Drosophila melanogaster: one gene and its partners. The protein of the gene in region 2 interacts with the protein of the main gene of each other region in a pairwise test. Each region holds a gene or a part of one and is shown on either strand. Other genes may lie near its edges.

Region 1 (5,159 bases), on a different chromosome or scaffold from region 2:
CACAAGAAATGAAATTAATTCACATGAATACACTTATTTATTATTATTAATTGATAAGTGGAAAAACAATGCATTCGTGTATTTTTTGTATTATTCTTTGCAAATGTCTAATGCACAAGATTATTATTACAATTAAAAATCTTCAACAGCAAATTTTTATTTTTTGTTTTTATGGTATATACAATTATTTAGAATTAACACATTTGTCATTTTTGAAATTGTATCTTTTAAAATTCTCGATATTTACTACATTTAAACACCCCACTGATGATACAGCAATAGTTATCTTAATTTCGAAATTTTCGTTAATCTTATATGAACTCAAATCATATATGTTCACAAGACAGAAGATAAGCATTGATGTATATCTTTTGAAAGGAATACGGTATTACCAAAGACACTAGAATAACAAGATGCGTAACGGCCATACATTGGTTTGCCCAAAGACCCTAGAATAACAAGATGCGTAACGCCATACGATTTTTTGGCACACGATTTTTTGGCCGTGGCTCTAGAGGTGGCTCCAGGCTCTCTCGAATTTTTGTTTGAGAGCGAGAGAGCGAAGAGCGCTACAGCGAACAGCTCTTTTCAACGCACAAAGTGGTAGGAGACATCTGTATGTGTGCACACGTATGCTCATGCATTGTAAATTTGACAAAATATGCCCTTCACCTCAGAAGTTTTTAGACTTTAAATCTATATTATTTTTGATCAATTGGCACCATGCGAAAAATTCTTGTTTTGCATTGCCTTAACGTTATTATTATTTGAAAATATATCAGAAATAGCCAAATCTATGTACATATTATCACAAAAATAAATTTCAAAAATGACTTTATATAAGAATATTTGTCATTAGAGTATTCATCTTGCGGCGTGTGAAAAATTAATAAGGCAATGATTGTTGAGTGCTTGTGTCCGCACTTCGTGCCTCAAGATATGAACAAAGCATTAGAATTATTCTAGTATATTACTTTGATATTACTTTTGCAATAAACAGTTATCATATTTAATTATTTAGTATATTTATTAAATCATTTGACTTAATATGATGTAACATTAACATTAAAAGTGTTTTAAAAAAATAATTTCTCTTTTAAAAAATTGTCAGATGAGAGACAAATTAGAATTAAACATAAATATAAATGTGTAAACGGTAGCTAATTCGAGCGGCGATTTTAACAAACAAATTTAAAAAGCTTTAAAATTATAATAGTCAGGGCGCGAATTTTTAAAAATTTTTTTATTTTATCATATTGCTAGGAAATTGGCAAAAACTACCCTAATATGTACCATGTAAATTCGTTTCTTCGATCAGAATTGATTTCGGCCCGAAAATCGTCTTCTAGCACAACACGCACACTTATACGCGTTCTCGTCTCTTGTTTTTACTCACACAAGCAATCAAATTATATTTTTAGATTTCTTACGCTCTCAGCGGGAGTGAGCGGAAAGAGAGTAATTTTGGCAGTCACCAAAGAAGTGGCTGCATAGTGCCAAACCAATGTATGGCCGTTACGCATCTTGTTATTCTAGTGTCTTTGGTTAAACTAAAGTATTTTTAAAGAAATACCGAACTACTTAAACGGAATTAAAAATTAAATTTCTTTGAAATTTATTGATCATCAACCGATGGTATATTATAAATAGACTTATATACTACAGGTATAACCTGTATATAGTATGATCTAAATCGTTGATATAATGAAATACTAACTACAGTCAAACCACGGACAATTGTTTATTTGTTACGTTCATTATGACTTCAATATTTCATATTTCATTATAAATTTCATTACAAATCTTTACATCTTTCTTGATGTGTGAAAATGTTATAAGGACTATTGAACTCTTTGGTTTGTGCTGCGATTTTGTGTCTTTTAAGCGAGAAGGTATAATTTGCCAGTCCATGTGCGGTCACACTGATGACAAATCGTTTTTATCAAGCGATATTGGGAACTAACTTTCGAGTTTGCATATGTGTATGCATATGTATATTTAATTAAGTTTTGGTTTTGTCTGATACACAAGATGATTATTACAATTAAAAATCTTCAACAGCAAACTTTTACTATTGAGTTTGCCCCGGAAAAAACGGTATGTGTACAAATAGTCAAATACTAGTATATTCACATGTATGGTATATACAATTATTGCAAATGCATATGTGTGCTTATACAGGTATTTCTTACAATTAATTTGTTGTACCATAATAAGCAGGGATTCTGATTACAAAAGGTTTTGGAACTGAAGAAGAAAATATTCGAGGAGCGCGGTCCAGAGTACGTCGCCGAAAAACAAAAACTGATCTACGCTGGCGTCATATTGACGGATGACCGCACCGTTGGTTCATACAACGTTGATGAAAAAAAGTTCATTGTGGTAATGTTGACACGCGATTCGTCTAGTTCAAATCGTAATCAACTTAGTGTAAAAGAAAGTAATAAATTGACTAGCACCGACGATTCAAAGCAATCTATGCCTTGCGAAGAAGCCAACCATACCAATTCGCCTAGTTCCACAAATACAGAAGATTCAGTTTTATCACGTGAAACCAGACCTTTATCTAGTGACGAATTGATTGGCGAGTTGGCCCAGGCTTCCTTACAATCGCGCGCTGAATCTAATTTGCTTATGGGTGACGAATACAACCAAACAGTCCTATCAATGGTGGAAATGGGTTACCCAAGAGAGCAGGTTGAACGTGCGATGGCTGCTAGTTATAACAACCCGGAAAGAGCCGTTGAATATCTCATTAATGGCATACCTGCAGAGGAAGGTACTTTTTACAATAGGCTGAATGAATCAACGAATCCTAGTCTAATCCCCTCCGGACCGCAACCTGCGTCGGCAACCTCTGCCGAGCGTTCAACAGAATCAAATTCAGGTAACTTGATGGGATTTCAATCAGCAGTCAATTTATGTATTCTTGTATGAAACGAAAATATATAATTTCTACCCAGAAGTACTAAATTTGCACACTTCAAAACATAGTGAAATTAATAAACCCGATTTGGCTCTCGCTCTTTAATGAAATTATACGGCCTTAACATAATTGCGTTAGTTTTCCTGGTCAAGAAATATTGTTGATCAAAACTTATGTTGCACATTCGTTAATAAATAATAAAAGAGTTCTCTTAGTACTGGAAATATATGCAGCTGTTAAAGATTCACTAAAATGTTTGTGAGCTCGTTGTCCCGCAGTATCATTTACATATATATGTCAACAGACACTAAAGGAGCGATAATTCACGAATTTTTGTCACTATTCTCTTCAAGGACAGGGCATCACTATATGTTTTTAGTTAATTTAATTATTATTTAATTATTTATATTTACGTTTCAGACCCCTTTGAATTTTTACGTAGCCAGCCACAGTTTCTTCAAATGCGATCTTTAATTTATCAAAACCCTCATCTTTTGCATGCAGTATTGCAGCAGGTAAGTACACTTATAATAATAATTACATGACACGTAAATGATAATTTTTTTTACGTATAGATTGGTCAGACAAACCCAGCCCTTTTACAACTTATTTCGGAGAACCAAGATGCGTTTCTCAATATGCTTAATCAACCGATTGACCGCGAATCGGAGTCAGGCGCCACCGTTCCTCCCGTTTCGAATGCGCGGATTCCTTCAACTTTGGACAATGTTGACCTCTTTTCTCCAGATTTAGAAGTAGCTACTTCAGCACAAAGATCAGCCGCGGGTACAAGTGCAGCACATCAAAGCGGTAGCGCAGCGGATAACGAAGACTTGGAACAACCTTTAGGAGTATCAACCATTCGTTTAAATCGCCAAGATAAGGACGCAATAGAACGGGTATATAGGAGTGAATAATTATATATGGACTGTCGAGTTACTTAATATATTCTTCTTCTAGCTAAAAGCTCTTGGATTCCCAGAGGCCCTTGTACTGCAAGCGTACTTCGCTTGTGAAAAGAACGAGGAACAAGCAGCTAATTTTTTGCTATCGTCTAGCTTCGATGATTAGGATGACAAAATGTAAGAAGTTATGCAAATAACACCGGAAGCGTTACATTTAAAGTTAGATGTTCTTAAATTAAATGTAAAATGTCGATCATAAAAATTCTTTTATATTCTTTTAATACCGTCGGCGTATTGTACTTGTTATTTGTTAAAAATTGCAGCCATGGGTAAAATAGAGTTACGATGTCATTTTTACTAAATATTTCACCACGACATTGTCTTCAGCATAAGACTGCAAATGTCTACAAATTTATCTGTGCCAATCCATGGTAGGGAGGCCTTGGATTAGGCCTTCACCTAATGGATGGCAAAGTATATTTCTAGTGTGTGTATTTCTAGTGTATATGCAATACACACATTAATTATTTTAAGGTCGTATTAAGCTAAAGAAGTCTTATGATTTATTCTTTCCTTATCTTGGTTGATTTATAAAATATTTTTTTGACTAGTGGGAGTCCACAATTAAGTCACTTAACACATAAAGTACTTTTTGTCGTCCTGGATGTTGGACATATGACTAAAATATATTAATCATTGTATTACATAAATTTCGTGTTTTTTTATTGTAAATAATGTCCGCAATTATGCCCTAATAAGCTGTGGCGTCTCTTTGGTGATTCCTTTCAGGATGAGTCGGAGAAATAAAACAATTTCATTAATTGCATGACATTCATAACAATTCTATAGTCGAGTGCCTCGACTATCAGATACCCTTTACTCACGAAAAAACTAATTAAAATTTTTATAAATATTTTTTATTGCTTATTTTTACAGGAATAAATGTTCTCCAGTTTTACAGTACTTAGATTATCATTAATTTACAAATATACAAAACTGTAGAACATTTGGACTTATGATACTTTTCTGCTTGCCAATTAATACGACAAATATAAAACTCGAACATTGTAATATGCATTATTAATGCAAAGAATTCTACACTTTAATATTAATAAATCTCTAATAGTTTCATGTATGGCTATGGTCCCCTCTATAATGTTGCTACAATTATAAATCTTTCCTGACTCAATGTAGATTCAAAGACACAAGAATTATTGGTAGATTTGGTAGAACGCAGGTAAGTGGAAAGAGAAGCACTCGTTAATACTTCTTTCCTTGACACGTTCCAGAACTTTAGACTGGGTCGAATTAACTTTATAAACATGGGC
Region 2 (4,478 bases):
ATATCTCCGCCTTAAGCAATTCTAATGCCGAGTCCCATTAAAATTTATCGTTCCGCATAATGCTAATGACTTATATTAATTTTGGAATGGCTCACGTTTTGCTCTGTAAGTCAGTTGGCATTTTGCTGATAATCAGTCCAAACAGTCTATGGCATAGAATCAGTGGCCAATCAAGTCAGTTTGGCCGGAACAACTAATAATGGTGATTATTTTTTGTATCACCATGACAATGTCAACATGAACGTCATTCAGATGGGACTCAAAGGCTTAATGGCAGCTTCTCTGCGCATTTGCAACAAATAAAGCCTGTCTGACCTTTGTTGCTTCCTCGAATGTTGCAATATTTATGCGCACACATGCAGAGGATGGAAATTCAAGGCTCAACTGCAGGCCAGGATCTTAAATTATAGTCAACTGTTGTCGGCCGTTCATGGTTCATTTATATTTATGACTAGGGTACACACAAAACGAATTAAATGAGCTGTTCTTGGGGTCGTTTAGGGGAAGAGAAAATGAAAAGGGTGTACATTAAATGAAAATTATTCCCACAGATATCATCTCGTTCCTAATAGCATTCGCATGCAACAGATTGTCAACAAAATGATTTGCTTGCGGAAAGGGGAGAAGGCCTCCTGCAGTGGGCAGCAGCACACGCGTCGTATGCGCAATTTGCATAATGAGGACATGAGACAAGGAGTTGGCATGGGCATCATGGGTTTTCCGTTTCAAGGCACCGTCCCCACAGACAGATGACCCAATTTTTAAGGGTCCTTCAGCACTTTATTGAGCGCCTTTCTAAATCCCTTTCGCTTTGCATTCCCTTTATGTCTTAAGTGTCTGTAACCTGAGGCTAAGCGGTCTATTTTCAGCAGTCCAGACATGACCTTAAAGCTAGTTGCCTACTTAAGGATTCCTCCAGCGTGGCCATGCCACGCATTCGAATCATTCGCCTTGGATACACGGCAGCCCGAGGAGGTTCAAAGGTAAATAATCGGATAAATATTTGTAATAATTTCTTGAACGATGAACCACTTCCAAGCGAACAGCAAGTGGTATCCAAAACCACTTTCGCACTCACAATCAGATGCAGCTCATTAGCATTTGATTTGGCGTCGAACCGAAGAAATATTTCCGGCAAAGCGGGCAAACATTGAACCTTTGCTCTGTGTCATTGCCATTTGCGGTTAGTTGAGCGGCAAAAGGTAAACAAATTTACGGGAAAACTCCCTCACCACCTGTGGTTTGAATAATGAAGAGGTGTTTGAGGTGTGAAAATAAATTTGGTAGAAACGAAGCGCTGGAGTGAGTAATCAATATGAATGCGATTTAGGTGCAGAGATCTATCATTCCGTGGTAAATATGTATATATTGTACAACTCATACTCTTCGTATAAGGAAGTGAATCAAAATTTGACAAATAACCATAATAACGATTATTTCTGATTATTTTGATAAATGCGAAATGCGACGAAAATGTATGTCGTTAATGTTTCAGTTTATTCACACGAGTAATATTTATCCAATCTATCTATCCAGTAGGCTGGTGTTATAACATTCACTATCTTTCTATATCCCTCATTCATTTTAGCTAAATCATCCAAAGAACATAAATAGATGTAAAATATATCAAATACAGTTTATACATTATTGTGCTTTTGCGTTTATTGGTGCAACTCGAGGCCAACGAAAGTTTGTTTCGGTGAGTAAAGAGCCTTTGGATGAAGATGGTGCGCCCAATTCGTCGCAAGGGAATCGAGGAGGTCTATGGTTCCAAAATGGATTCCTTGCATCCGGTAAAGTCGGTAGCGATATCCCATGCAGGTGTGACCAAGAAAACAGCAAGGGCTGAGAGATCGGGTCCAGGCGGTGCAACTGGCGGTGGAGGAACCATTAGCTCCCGACAAGTCGATGCTCGCACTCAGCGCAGTTTTGTCACCGAAAATGATTACTACATCACCACCAATCTGCCGTTGACGGCGGCCAATCTGCGAAATGCCCCCGGTTCGATGGCGCAGCCATCAATATCGCAAATGATTCCCGGCCATGTCCAGCCATCTCCATATAACGCCATGCCCTCGAGGCGAAACCAAATGGCCAATAAGGCCAGTGCTCGTCAGGCGCCGATGAACAAGGTGCCGCATTTTAGCCCGGCCGAAGGCACGGTAAACCCTAATGGCTATGGCATGTCCAAGTCGAAGGAGACATACCGAATGAAGCACCGCGAAAAGGGCAATACCCAGAGGAACGACTATCCAATGGATGACAACGACGACTACTCCGATAAGGAACTAATGGTGCCCCAGCAGGGAAACATGGGAAATATGCGCCGGCACAATCCGCACTCTCATGCCCATCAAATGCAAATGCAGTTGCAATCCGGAGCAATGCAGCATCCGCCGCAACACCAGCTGCACCAGCAGCAGCAGATGACTACTCACAACCACCTCAAGCATCAGCAACAGCAGCGCCTCCAGCATTCGCAACCGCATCAGCATCAGCATCAGCATCCGCATCCGCATCAGAAGCAGATGCGTGGGCGACAGCCTGTTCCGGCGAGCAAGGTGCACGTGAGTACCGCCGATGACGATGAAGATAAGGAGGAAGATCCTGAGGAGTTCTTTGACCTGATCCGCCAGACTGTCAAAACGGCCGTTGGCGTGAGTTTCGCATAAGTTCCTTAGTTGATTAGTTAATACACTATGCACTTTCTTTAGAACACCATATCCGATGCTCTGGCAAAGAACTTTCGCGATCTGAGCCACAAAATCGAAAGGTTCTCGGGCGAGTTGAAGCAGACAAACGATAACCTGGATAAGCTGCAGGAACAAGTCATTAGCAGTGAGTTTATTTACTTTCAGTGTTTATTTGGTATTTATAATATGTAACTATTTTTTGGCATCTGCAGAGGTAATTTACTTCGGTGAGGAAAATTCGCGACACTTTCGGTACTTGTGCATGAAATCCGAGTACGATAAAATGTTTTACCAGCATCAATCGCTGATGAATGGAAAGCCCACTCAGGAAATGCTGAGTCTTTCGAAGGCGAACTTAGAAGCAGCGGCCTCAGTCAGTCAGAATCTGACACAGAAACCGTCGCATAGTTTAAAACAACAACCAGGAAAAGTGATTAGGAATCAAAGCAAAATGCCTATTAGCGCCAAAAAAGACCATAACGAGTCCCTAATGAACTCCAGTGCCTATCGTAGCATCTGCAAAGCTCAGCAGCCAGTTCTTGCTGCACAAAAGTCGTCATCGGAGCAAAGTTTAGTTGTAAAATCATCTGATGTGGGCGTGCAAGAAGTCCTGGATAATATCCAGCGCTACTGCAATCAGGTGAAGGATATGAATGGTCAGATGTCGGCTGAACTGCCCAGTCTCGAGGACATCTTGATACCCAAGAAAAATTCAAACGGTGGACTTTGTCAGCCAGCAGCCATGAGCTCTAGGACCCTCGCAGGTAGTCAGAAAAATAAAAAGGTTGACGACACGGAGATCGAAACGCCCAACGATAGTACGGATGAGACCTACACCGAAGTGGATGACTTCCAGCTCTCCTCGGACATCTCGACCGGCAGCGAGGACGATGACTGTGGCCTCAAGTATCCAAGTGGAGCAACTACGAGCCGGCCCAACCGCAAATTAAATCGAAGGGGAGCCAACCAAGGCGCCGGAGATGGTCAGTAAAGCCACTGGAGTGAAGATAAAGGAGCATTCAAACTGAAGGGGAACCCATTCCTAGAAATCGCCTTAATACTTATTTAAATATTACTTTTGGCATGACCTAAATTATTTCTGATAATGTAAAGCCAAAAAAAATTGGATCAAATGTTTCGACAAATTAACTATAACTTATCGTACCTGGCGTACATGTATTCATTTAATTCATTTTTAGGATCACAATTAAACTATGTTCAAAATTTAAAACTGGCTTTCATATTCTTATTTATGTTATGTGAACAGCTTACATTGAGCATAAAACTGACCTATTTGGCCCTTGGCAATCCCGATTCTCGCTGAGTAATGCCCATTGGTGTCACTAATAAGTGCATATTATATTGACTGCAAAGCAAGAATCAACTGAGCTGGCCAAAACAAGGCATCACCCCCATCCGGCAACCGGGTAAAACTGAGTCGAGTGGAAAATAAGGCCTAAGACCACCCCCACTAGCCCTAACCTGCAGCTGCATTTTTATGGGCTTACGAGTGTCGCGGCTCTGCAAGTTCTTCCGCTAGTTCAGTTGGCCAAAACAGTTTAAACGTGGACGTGGTCCGTCGGTAAGATATTGGTGCGTCTATTCAAAGTAAAATGAGTATTTAAATAAAAAGCCAAACAGCTTAATAAGGCCATATAGTTGCTTTTTGGGCAATTAAAGTTAAACCCCCTAAAGGAATTGAGCTCTAAATTAAACTTATGCAACGTGGCCAAATGAAAATGCTTACTTTTCAACTGATGTTGCGTTTGACGTGAATTAAAAGTG
Region 3 (6,920 bases), about 16 Mb from region 2:
TGGTCTTCCACTCCTTCGGCGGCGGCACTGGCTCTGGATTTACGTCGCTGCTGATGGAGCGCCTGTCCGTGGACTATGGAAAGAAGTCAAAGCTGGAGTTCTCCATTTACCCAGCACCACAAGTATGTCATTTGCATATGGATATTATATCTATTGCTTGAGCATTTATAGAAGACCAATTAACATAATTAGTAAAAGACATGGGAAATTAGTCTTCGAAAGGCAATCTAATAATCGAACTTCCTGTTAGGTGTCCACAGCTGTGGTCGAGCCATACAACTCGATCTTAACCACCCACACAACGCTGGAGCACTCGGACTGTGCGTTTATGGTTGACAACGAGGCAATCTACGACATCTGCCGGCGCAACTTGGATATCGAGCGACCCACCTACATGAATCTCAATCGCCTAATTGGCCAGATCGTTTCCTCCATTACGGCCTCGTTGCGCTTCGATGGCGCCCTGAATGTGGATCTGACCGAGTTCCAGACCAATTTGGTGCCCTACCCACGCATTCATTTCCCACTGGCGACATACGCTCCCGTCATTTCCGTGGAGAAGGCCTACCATGAGCAACTGACCGTGGCCGAGATCACCAATGCCTGCTTCGAGCCGGCCAACCAGATGGTCAAGTGTGATCCGCGTCGTGGCAAGTACATGGCCTGCTGCATGCTCTACCGCGGTGATGTGGTGCCCAAGGATGTGAACGCAGCCATTGCCACCATCAAGACCAAGCGCTCTATCCAGTTCGTCGACTGGTGTCCCACGGGCTTCAAGGTGGGCATCAACTATCAGCCACCCACCGTTGTTCCTGGCGGAGATCTGGCCAAGGTGCAGCGCGCCGTCTGCATGCTGTCCAATACCACTGCCATTGCCGAGGCCTGGGCCCGTCTGGATCACAAGTTCGATCTGATGTACGCCAAGAGGGCCTTCGTCCACTGGTACGTGGGTGAGGGCATGGAGGAGGGCGAGTTCGCCGAGGCTCGCGAGGATCTCGCTGCCCTCGAGAAGGACTACGAGGAGGTAGGCATCGACTCCACCACCGAACTGGGGGAAGATGAGGAATACTAGAGAAAACGTTGTCAACAAATGATACAGCCATTACAACTTTATAAACATCACTTTCTTTCTACCAAATACCAATGCATAAAACAGTTTCGCAATAAAACAGTTTAACACAATTGCTTAAAATGGCTTATTTAAATGGGAAATATTCGTCTTTAGATGGAATTTAACTTTTGTGTTAATAAGAATAAAACTTTCTCATATAAGGAAATTGGTAAATCATATATTTATTGGAAATTACCCCTCCGTAAAAAACCCTACTTATCACTTTCTTATTGCTTTAAATATTAATATTAATTGGGCAAATTAATGTTGACTTTTAAAAGTTTTTAATTTTTGAAATCGTTACGTGTAATGGAGCCTTAGGATGCATTTTGAAACGCATGCGCAAAAATGTGTACACATATTTCTAGCAAATTCAGTAGTCGTAGACGTACCTTTTCAGGAGTAGCAGCGAAAAATATTCTTAAGATAGTTTTTAAGTTTAAATTAATTTTACATATATGTGAAAAGTTGTATTAAAAAATTCGCCCGTTATTAAATATAATATTGTTCTTTGGAAACCTCTGTGAATGTTATTTAATTGTAAATGTACATGCAAAATTGTATCCTCTTTTGTCTGCAAAATTGTATGTGCATGTATGTATTCGCAAAATTTAAGTCTAGTCTGTTAAGTTAATTAAGATATTGTTGAGTAGTCTAGGCAGACAACTTTATCTTAAAAGTCCCAGTTTAAACAGTTCTTATACAGAAATTGTATGATATGTATACATATGAAATATGAATATTTTATTTACCCATATATACCCCTTGGAATAATCAATGCCCCCAACGAATACAGACAATGCAAATCTACACAATACCAACAATATATTTATCTTTATTCGCCTTTACACAAAAAGCTTATGTATATCGAATATAATACTATTTTTTCAGGATCTTCGAATGTGATGAAAACCATACCTCTCTCTTCTCTTTTATATCTTTCTTCTTTTCCTATAAAACATTTAATACTTACATATTTCACCATTTACATTTATTCTTATTTTAGGTGGCTATATAATTTTTCATTACAGGAATTTGATTAAAACAATCGTAAGATGGTCCTATCTGCAAAACTCATATACTCTTCCATTTAAGTTCATCCTATAGCCAAAACGTCCGTCCGTTTTTATATCCGTTTGTCCGTCCGTTTGTATGTCCTTCCGTTTGTATGTCCGTTTGTCCGTCCGTTTGTCCGTCCGTTTGTCCGTCCGTTTGTCCGTCCGTTTGTCCGTCCGTTTGTCCGTCCGTTTGTATGTCCTTCCGTTTGTCCGACCGTTCCGTCTGTATGTTTCTTATGTTATGTATGTTGTATATGTTTCTTTTTAGCAAAATAAGATGTGTCTGGTTTCCTTGCCACCTATGCAATCCCCTTGTGAGATCTTAAACTTGTTATACGCCTAAATATGATAAATGCTTTCTATGAATAACCTTTATATTTACAGATTAACTGCACCGGATGACGTGGCATTTTATTTGTAACATATTTAAAATTAAATCAAACATTTAAAGAATGTTTAATTTAATTTACACTGAATTCATTTAGCACTGGGCCTTTAGTAGGGGTTAAATCTTATATGCGCCAAGTTGTTAAATATTCATAACTTTTGGGGAAAGTATCATCTCAATGATAGTGCGGGAAAATTAAGCTGAAATTAAATAGGGCGTAATAAATAGAAATCCTTAAACTATCACTCTGATTCGGAGTTTTACAGGAATGGCGGCATATGAGTAAAGATAGTTTTATTGAAATGACTCCTAATGACAGACGAAAAAGAGATTATTTCTGTGTATTTGCATATGCCCATCTCTTGGGTAAAGGATCAATGGTAATGATTATAAATTTCAGTTTTAAAAACATGCATCGGATACATGACGACGAGTATTCCGAGGATGCCAAGGAATCGGACTTTAAGAGTTCGATTCAGAAGGAGATATCAGTGAAGTCGAGACACCAAATTTCCATACCAGACATATGCTCAGATGCTGTTAAGAACAATTGTTTTCCGCCGACTGGCTTTCTCAATAACTCGATCACCTTTGCCTCACATGTAGTTAAGTGCAGCTCACCGGCCTCGAGCATCGATGAATCCTCAACGGCGGCCCAGCAGCACGAATCCAATCCACACATGCATATACAGGGTCAGCATATGATGGCTCCCGTTCCCGATCTGGGTTTCTACAATGTGCCCGAGTTCATATCCGAGCAGGAGAAGCTCATGTTCTCCGATGCAGAGAGATTCTTGCGGTCGAAGGATAATGAGGTGTGCAACAATGATTTCAGCTATATGCACGATGAGTTCGCCATGCGGAAGTACTATCATCCGTTATTTGCTCATGGCATATGCCGTTGGCCTGGTTGCGAAATGGATTTGGAAGACATCACATCGTTTGTCAAGTAGGTGGAGTACAATTAGAGGTATGAAATAATTATATAGGGTATGTTATCTAACTAGGCATCTGAATACGGAACATGGTTTGGACGATCGATCAACAGCACAGGCACGGGTTCAAATGCAAGTTGTCTCCCAGCTGGAATCCCACCTGCAAAAAGAACGAGATCGCTTGCAGGCAATGATGCATCACTTGTATTTGTCCAAGCAGCTTTTGTCTCCCACCAAAATCGACAGGAAGGTAAGTCCCTTTTTATGTGAGTAAGTATTGGTATAATGAAAAGTTATAAATATAAGGACGTGCCCGGAAGAGAGGGAAAGTTTTGCCGGAGTCCGCTTACCGTAAATAGCATAGGCCGACCCATCCGACAAACAAATTCACCGAGTCCTCTGAATCTTCCAATGGTTAATTCCACCAACTTGTGCTCGATCAAAAAGAGAAACCACGACAAAAATACATTTTCCATAAATGGGGGTAAGTTTGGGAAAAATTTACTATTACTGTATAAAAATAATAATGGTTTTTGGATATAGGATTACCCTATATGCTTGAAAGAGCAGGTCTTGATGTGCAACAGGGTAAGTAAATTATGTAGACTGATCGTCTTGATGACTATTCGTCTTGTGCTTCTGGAAGACATATAATAAGAATTTAAATTTGCAGAAATCCATCGAAACAGAGAGTTTTATAAGAATGCTGATGTACGACCGCCTTTTACTTATGCTTCCCTCATAAGACAGGTAATTTTAAAAACCAATTTCCTAATATAACATTAATTTATTTTTTTTATATATATTTTATTTATAGGCTATAATTGACTCCCCTGACAAGCAGTTAACCCTAAACGAAATCTACAACTGGTTCCAAAACACATTTTGCTACTTCCGGCGCAACGCAGCTACGTGGAAGGTAAAATGCCCCATATATGTAAATCTTCTTTCCTCCATATTATCTATATATTATGCAACATAACTTTAATTTGAGTATTTATGCTATATGATATGATATCTATGATCTGATATGACCATTTGTCCGTCCGTATAACTCTCGTTTGTCCGATTGGCGTTCCTAGCTTGTCCGCTGTATATATACTATATACTACCTTTTCCACATTGTCCACTACTTTGCCAATATTTAAGAGTATAATAGAGCTAAATACAAGTGATATATAACAAGGTAAGCTACACAGGTCAGATCCTGTTTTATTCCATTTCCTTTTTATATGTCTTAAAATAATCAAATTAAGTTTGGCCTATGCTAACTGATAATATATATCATTAGAACGCAGTCCGGCACAATCTGTCCCTTCATAAGTGCTTTATGCGGGTTGAGAATGTGAAAGGAGCAGTTTGGACTGTCGATGAGATTGAGTTTTACAAAAGACGACCGCAGCGCACTGCTGGCATTGGTAACAATCTAACCGGTGCTACCAATTCGCCGGACACTAACTATTTTGTAGCCATGAACATTGGGTATGTGGGTCTCAAATAGTTTAATTCTACTCACTTTGCTCCAAACTCCTTCCGTTTTGCTCTGTTAGTAAATATACATATGCCATTGCATGCATGCTCCTATATCGAAATGATATAATATGACATTATACGATCTTTTTACAGCGCAAATTGTAAACAGTGATTCTAATCTCTTAGTGGTAGAAACCCAAAATGATGTCCGTCTGCTCATCGATCTGTCTGTCTGTCTGTCTGGAATTTAGCTGATGAAGATTATCCAGGATTTCGCGTGTTATGAAAAATGAAAATAAGAAGACCGAAGACAAATGAACTAACCTTAATATCTCAATGAACTTTTTCTTCCTTTCACGATAATGCAATTTCCTGTTTCTGACTCTTGATGGGGCTCTTGTTTTGTCCAACCAATCATAAAGAATGCGATTCGTACGAACCTTTCCTTACACAAGTGCTTTGTACGTTATGAAGATGACTTTGGCTCGTTTTGGATGGTCGACGATAATGAGTTTGTCAAAAGGCGGCACTTGTCGAGAGGGAGACCCCGGAAATATGAACCGTCCTCCTCCCCAAATTCATGCCAATCCGGCAATGGTGTGCCCACTGATAAGAATCCCTGCGACAATTGTACGCAACATTGCACTAGTTTGCCACCGGGTGCTGATAATCCTCTAGATTCCAATAATCCAAATGATTTAGGCAGAATTGGTTGTCTTCCCTATTGCGGTAGTGATGGTTTAAGTAAAGCGTCCAAGGACTATAGCAATATGGACTCGGGTATGATCGAAAGTAACAGCCACTTGACAATCGATGAATATTCTACTAATATGTACGAGAGTAGTGCCAATGAGCACAATCGATAAATAATATATCATTAACTATACATATATTTAGATGCATTGTCGAGTAATCTGCGTTTGGTAAGAAGGTTCGGATTCGGAAATTATATCTGTACATACACATGGTTCTATGTATAATTTCCCAAATAGAAATGAAAAAATACTTTTAAAATAAATTTCACTAATGCTATAAAATAAACGAAAGAACTACGTTAAATTATTAAAGCAAAATTAATGTGTTTAAACTTGCTTTAATAACTCCACTTATAACACGATTTTAATATACGAGTACAACATATATGAATATTTTCACTTTTCAGCAAGGGAGAAAACATTTAAAAGCTATAGCTTGATAAAATTTTAACAAAACTGTTTTAAAAGTCACAATATGATTTTTTTTTAAGGAAACTATTTTCAGGTATACCTTCTGTTAAAAATCTGGACCCTTGAGAGCTTTAGATTTGGAAACTCCTTAGTAAACGTATATGCTTTTCTGCTGACTTATCTAATTTCCTTCTAATTTAAGATCATTAACGATACTCAGTGACCTAAATAAATTCCTCAAATATACAACAAAGTGAACAAACTGAATTTTATTTCTAGTTCCTAAGCAAACGGTTTACGCGACGTAAAAGCGGTTAAATCGGCTTCTCAAAAGTTTGTCAATCAAAGTTTTCTACCAATTCATTATTTTAAAGCGGTCTTTAGTATATTTTAGTATATTCTATTGGAGATTTTTTGGACTGCCACTATTTAAGGAAAAACAACCGATAAGAATGGACGCATTCGTGAACTTCTGTATCTTAAATTTAATAAAATATATACAGCCTAAGTACACATATTGTAGTCAATGTCAATTTAATTTGAAAGTAAAGTTTTTGTTTACCAATAAATTTGTTTGGAGAATGTATCGATACCGTCGAATTTTCCGGCAACCATCGATACAGTCGGGCGGCATCGGTTTTCGTCCCAGCTCTAGCCAGTACGGTCACTCTGAAAGTCTCTCAACGTTTTGTGACATGAAAATTCAACGAGGACACTGTGTACATGAATAGTTGAAAAATTAAAATGGTTTCCATGCAATTTGTTTTGCAACCGCTACCGGGCTCGGAC
Region 4 (4,530 bases), on a different chromosome or scaffold from region 2:
GCTATGAAAAAATGTACACATATTTTTTGTAATTATAATTGTCCAACATAAAAATCTAACAACAATAAAGTGGGAATCTAAATCATAGTCGCTTAAGCATAGTCAAATTAACAAGTAATATGTAATATCGGTTAACTGGAACTTATGGAACTGGTCGTTTAGCACAGAATATATTGTTCGGTTATCGGTTATGAATGGTGTGTGGAGTTCTGTGTGTTTATGTGGGAACTGTGGTGGTGGGTGCTGTTGCTGGTATTTTGATCAACAAAATACGGTCCTAAAACGGGAGAATTACAAACTCGTTAATACAAACTCGTTAATAAATGTCACAGAACATTTAGTTAGATTAGCCGAATTTTGTCAGAAAGCGCTTACGGTTAGTTTCGGTTCGGATTAAAAGCCACCAAATTTGGATTGTTTATGTTTTTTGTGGTGTTAGTCACATGGGGATTTCCTCAGCCGAGGCGCAAACCATTAAGCCCAAAATCGAGCTTTACCTGCCGCAAGACAATTTCAAATTCAACGACAACTTCAAACAAAGGAACACCAAGAGAGCCTATGTTATGACTACGTTGTGGTTACGATAACGCATTACAATCTCTACGCCTACGTATCGGGCTCGTGTTATTTGAATACTTCAACAATCGGTTTGGTTTCTGGTTAGCCGTGCGTGTGGGTGACTGAGTTTCAGAATTTTGATATCTTATTATGATTTCGTTGGACTTAAGCAGTACTTGAGTTATGGGAGGCGCCACTGATCGCATTGAACAAAGCCATGCTATTGCGCTGGTTTATGCTGTCGGCATCGTCGCCGAGCGGCTGGAAGGACTCGTCGTCCAGCAACTCACTGAGCGCCTGGCACAGCTTCTCGTAGTTCTCCTTGAGCACATGATGGTACTCCTTCTGGTCAGCGCTGATGATCCGCTCGTTGAGGAACAGGGCCTTCTGACACACCACAATGAAGTCGCTGCAAGAAAGAGACCACAATTAATAAACGTAAAGCACTAGTCACTAGAAATGCATACCGAAAAACATCCTTGAGATCTCCGACGCGATCCATTGAGAAGTTGTTAACCACCTTTGCATCGAGAAAGGCATGAGCGTAGGCCAAAGGACCAGCATTTACAGTCACCGCCACACTTCCCTGCAGACGCAGCTGCAACTTCTTCACATCGGCCGGTGGGAGTATGATCTCCTCCAGCTCTGAAACCTTGGATTGCATTTCATCGATGGCCACCTCAATGGGGCTCAGTTCTATGATTTCACGGGATTTGACGGGTATACGTTTAAGAACATATGGGAAGGAGTATTGAGCTGCAATAATTGATGCTTTAATATGGTACAAATGAAATTAAAGACGGTTTTTACATACTTTTTATAACCGTCTTGCGTTTCCATTGTTCTTCTACGCTGCCACGGGCTGCACCCGATTTGGTGAACGGAGTCTCGTACATAAAAGTATCCACATCATGATTCTGCTCGAATTCATTTAGCCTTTGGTCTAGCTCGTCCTTGGAGAAGAAAGGAATCACATGGGTGACCTGTATGTAGGCAAGTTTGGCATCTAGTTCGTCTACTTTAACCTGAAAAAATGAGTTGTAAAATTTTATAATACTTAATTGTTTGTCTTAAAAAATCGTCTATAAATAATAATAAATAATAATATAATGCAATAATAATGCAATCAATGGTGGACATACACTAGTAACTTCGAGATCAAGTCGTCCCTCCAGCAAATATCAGAATGAAGTTTGTTTCAGAATACTTCCCACCTTCAACAGATTTGGTTCAAATAGCTCAGCAACTTTACTAGGTACTAGTAAATTGTTTGTTATTTTTATACAACTACCACAATCCGCACACTAGAACCGCAAAAATATCCAAAATTTTGTAGAGATCGAGTTCCTTCTTTTGGCACAAACCATAAGTTCATCAGATTGTCGGACATACGGTAACTATTTCACAATACATTGTCCGTTCCCTTATGGAGCAGCTCTTTGAGTTCCCGGCTCGTGCGATGGGTCTGGGATTGGTCCAGATGCCGCAGATGCAGATACCAATCCCATGTAGGAGGGAGTACTCGCTAAATCCGAACGCAGTGGAATTCGTGCCATCTTTTCGCCAGAAATCCGAGCCTCCAAGTCCATCGACCAAAACGGAGGCGACCTCAACTACAACATTGCTGCGTCCCGAGGTCGTTGGTGATGCCGTGAATCGTGTTGAAAATGGGATTTTTCTCGAGCGCCAGATCTTTGACACCCTAAGTCAACTGGGAGACGAGCAAATGCCTCTGGAAGAGATCGCGGTTGGTGTATTACCAGGAGGACAAGGTCTTAGTATGACTTTCACCACCAAAGAGCACGATCAGATGCAGCCTTTGGACCGAAATACTCTAGTAAACCACAGTAAACAGTGCCTCCAGCTGGCTGTGGGCGATCAGGCGAAGTTGGCGAACAGACCTGAGACCGTTCTAATTGCCCAATTCCTCATCCGGGTCAACGATCTTTTGAACGAGAAGTATGAATACGGTGGCGATGGATCCGTGTGTCCCAGATGCACCCTGTGCTCAAATCGCAGCTATACGGAGCTGGAAATCGAAAACCAAATCGAGTGCATAAAGGCTTTTGAGAAATTTTTCACCTTTACGGAATCAACTCGCTACCAAGACATAGTTTCTCACAAAGCCTTTAAGGAGCTGTGCCACAGGCTGGGTTTGATCGTAAGCCGAGATCAGATCCAGGTTAACCGCCCCTCCACAGTGGTCCCTCCACCCACGGCACAGTCATCTAGTATAACCCTTTGCATGTCCAAGAACGAAATGGAATCTAATGTAGAGGCCAAGGCTTATAGAGGAGATGACGAATCCAGTTTCAACGGTTGTGAACTGACCGCGAATGGAGGTCAACATCCATCTATTTCTAATGAATATTTGAGGGGAAAGCTTTACAGGTGGGTGGGTCTTAAGTTAAGTGAAGGGAATACAACAATTATTGTGATTTATATTTTTAGATACGAAGACTCTCAGGGATGCCAGTTGGTCAACGAACTGAGTGAAAATCAACAAAAAATTGAAGCTATGGAGGTAGATGAGTTCGAGTTGGATTTACCATCTACCACGAAGCCCAAGACCGTGGTAACTACTAGTGTGCCGACAACCTTTCCTCGGGTGTACAAAACAGCCAAAGCCAAATGCTCGGCTCGTGGGGCAGGATCTAGTGGTCAACAGAGTGGCTACAATAACAGGGCAGTCCGTTCAATGATGCAGCCGTCAAAGGGCTCACCCACGACTTCACATTTTCGGACTATTGCAGTTGGTTGCCACCACCAAGCTGGATCGGCTGCCCCTCGAAAGCTGCAAATGGATTCGTGCCCAACCGGGGCTGCCCGCAAGCAAAATAGGTTGACTGAAGCAAAATCAAAAATTTACCAGCCATCTGGCAGTTCGCAACGACTTTCAACAGGTCGCGATACAAAACTAGGAAAATCTGGTACAAACGTACAAAAACCCAAGTTAAATCATATGTGAGTTAAAATTTGTGATCATTAAATGCTTACAGATCTACTTCAAACTACCTTGAAAGAAGAACTTTTAATAGTCTATTATTATGTGCCTGTAAACTGTCTATTTTATATTTTCTATTCCTTTATATCTTTAGTTGCAAGTCAGGAAAAATGTCTACGGCCAGCAGGATTGCCATGTCTAATCCAAAGCAAACCAATGGCAACCCACAGCGAATGATGCCAAGAAGCACAAACGCCTCAATGATGCGACAGTCCGAGGTCAAGCGGGTAAACCCTCTCGCAACTCCAATTTCACAAATAATATAATATATATATATACTCCATTGTAGCGCATGAGTTTGATGCGCGCCGACAGTGATTCGGATCTGCTATACAACGAATATCTCTTCAAGTGATTTGCAATAAGTTATATGGATTTGTTGCTTCCCTTTCAAAAATTAGTTTTTCCAATCCAAAAATACCTAGGTTATGTTAAAATTAAAATTGAAACCAAGACTGGGAAAAATTTAAAGAAAGTGTAATTTTTATACTTACCGGTGATGAGTCCATGATCATCTTAACTACATCGGCTCCAAACTTTTCTTTGTATTGTTTGGCAAGTCGCTCAGAGATTTCGCTGAGTGATGTTAGCTTGGGCTCCTTGTACACAAACTCGATGGCATGATCTTCTTCAAAGTACATCTAAAAATAGCATTAAATTTAATATTAATTTTAAGGGTATTCTGTAGATTACTCACTAATCCATAAAATACAACACGGTAAAAGCGACCCAACATTCTCTTTCCTGACCGATTCACTTCAACTATTTTATTATAGGCTTGCGTGAGATGCTCATAGCAGTGTGCCAGGTCCTGGTAACTACGATCTCTTTCGTACATGGGCAGGATGAGTTTGTAGAGCTCTCCAAGGCACTCAAATCTTTCAGCGCGATCCAAGAAGTCAGCACATAGCTTAAGCTGCTCCAGTAGCATTTGTTCGGTGTACTGGGAATCCTGAGCACCGGCATCC

Evidence for each region.
Region 1: the proteins of CG14540 (region 2) and Rad23 interact in a two-hybrid assay, tested with the Drosophila melanogaster proteins (one large-scale study listed by BioGRID).
Region 3: the proteins of CG14540 (region 2) and FoxP interact in a two-hybrid assay, tested with the Drosophila melanogaster proteins (one large-scale study listed by BioGRID).
Region 4: the proteins of CG14540 (region 2) and CG6441 interact in a two-hybrid assay, tested with the Drosophila melanogaster proteins (one large-scale study listed by BioGRID).

What each region holds. Positions count from the first base shown.
Region 1 is NC_004353.4:306,193-311,351, forward strand, and holds Rad23 (Rad23), read left to right. Parts: upstream 1-1,900; 5' UTR 1,901-2,031; coding exon 2,032-2,097; intron 2,098-2,220; exon of another isoform or gene 2,221-2,238; coding exon 2,239-2,887; intron 2,888-3,346; coding exon 3,347-3,441; intron 3,442-3,501; coding exon 3,502-3,825; intron 3,826-3,886; coding exon 3,887-3,997; 3' UTR 3,998-4,630; downstream 4,631-5,159.
Region 2 is NT_033777.3:25,957,758-25,962,235, forward strand, and holds CG14540 (uncharacterized protein), read left to right. Parts: upstream 1-1,521; 5' UTR 1,522-1,718; coding exon 1,719-2,657; intron 2,658-2,714; coding exon 2,715-2,838; intron 2,839-2,905; coding exon 2,906-3,684; 3' UTR 3,685-3,929; downstream 3,930-4,478.
Region 3 is NT_033777.3:9,725,481-9,732,400, reverse strand, and holds FoxP (forkhead box P), read left to right. Parts: upstream 1-1,528; 5' UTR 1,529-2,967; coding exon 2,968-3,506; intron 3,507-3,564; coding exon 3,565-3,742; intron 3,743-3,798; coding exon 3,799-3,976; intron 3,977-4,035; coding exon 4,036-4,080; intron 4,081-4,165; coding exon 4,166-4,242; intron 4,243-4,309; coding exon 4,310-4,411; coding exon of another isoform or gene 4,412-4,474; exon of another isoform or gene 4,475-4,783; coding exon of another isoform or gene 4,784-4,993; exon of another isoform or gene 4,994-5,250; intron 5,251-5,387; coding exon 5,388-5,831; 3' UTR 5,832-6,381; downstream 6,382-6,920. Other genes in the region: alphaTub85E (alpha-Tubulin at 85E), read left to right, coding at 1-122, 251-1,072; hyd (hyperplastic discs), read left to right, coding at 6,876-6,920.
Region 4 is NT_033779.5:7,472,923-7,477,452, forward strand, and holds CG6441 (uncharacterized protein), read left to right. Parts: upstream 1-1,781; 5' UTR 1,782-1,984; coding exon 1,985-2,949; intron 2,950-3,009; coding exon 3,010-3,522; coding exon of another isoform or gene 3,523-3,526; exon of another isoform or gene 3,527-3,571; intron 3,572-3,656; coding exon 3,657-3,789; intron 3,790-3,851; coding exon 3,852-3,917; 3' UTR 3,918-4,030; downstream 4,031-4,530. Other genes in the region: Ziz (zizimin), read right to left, coding at 189-277, 735-967, 1,026-1,314, 1,373-1,583, 4,057-4,203, 4,260-4,530.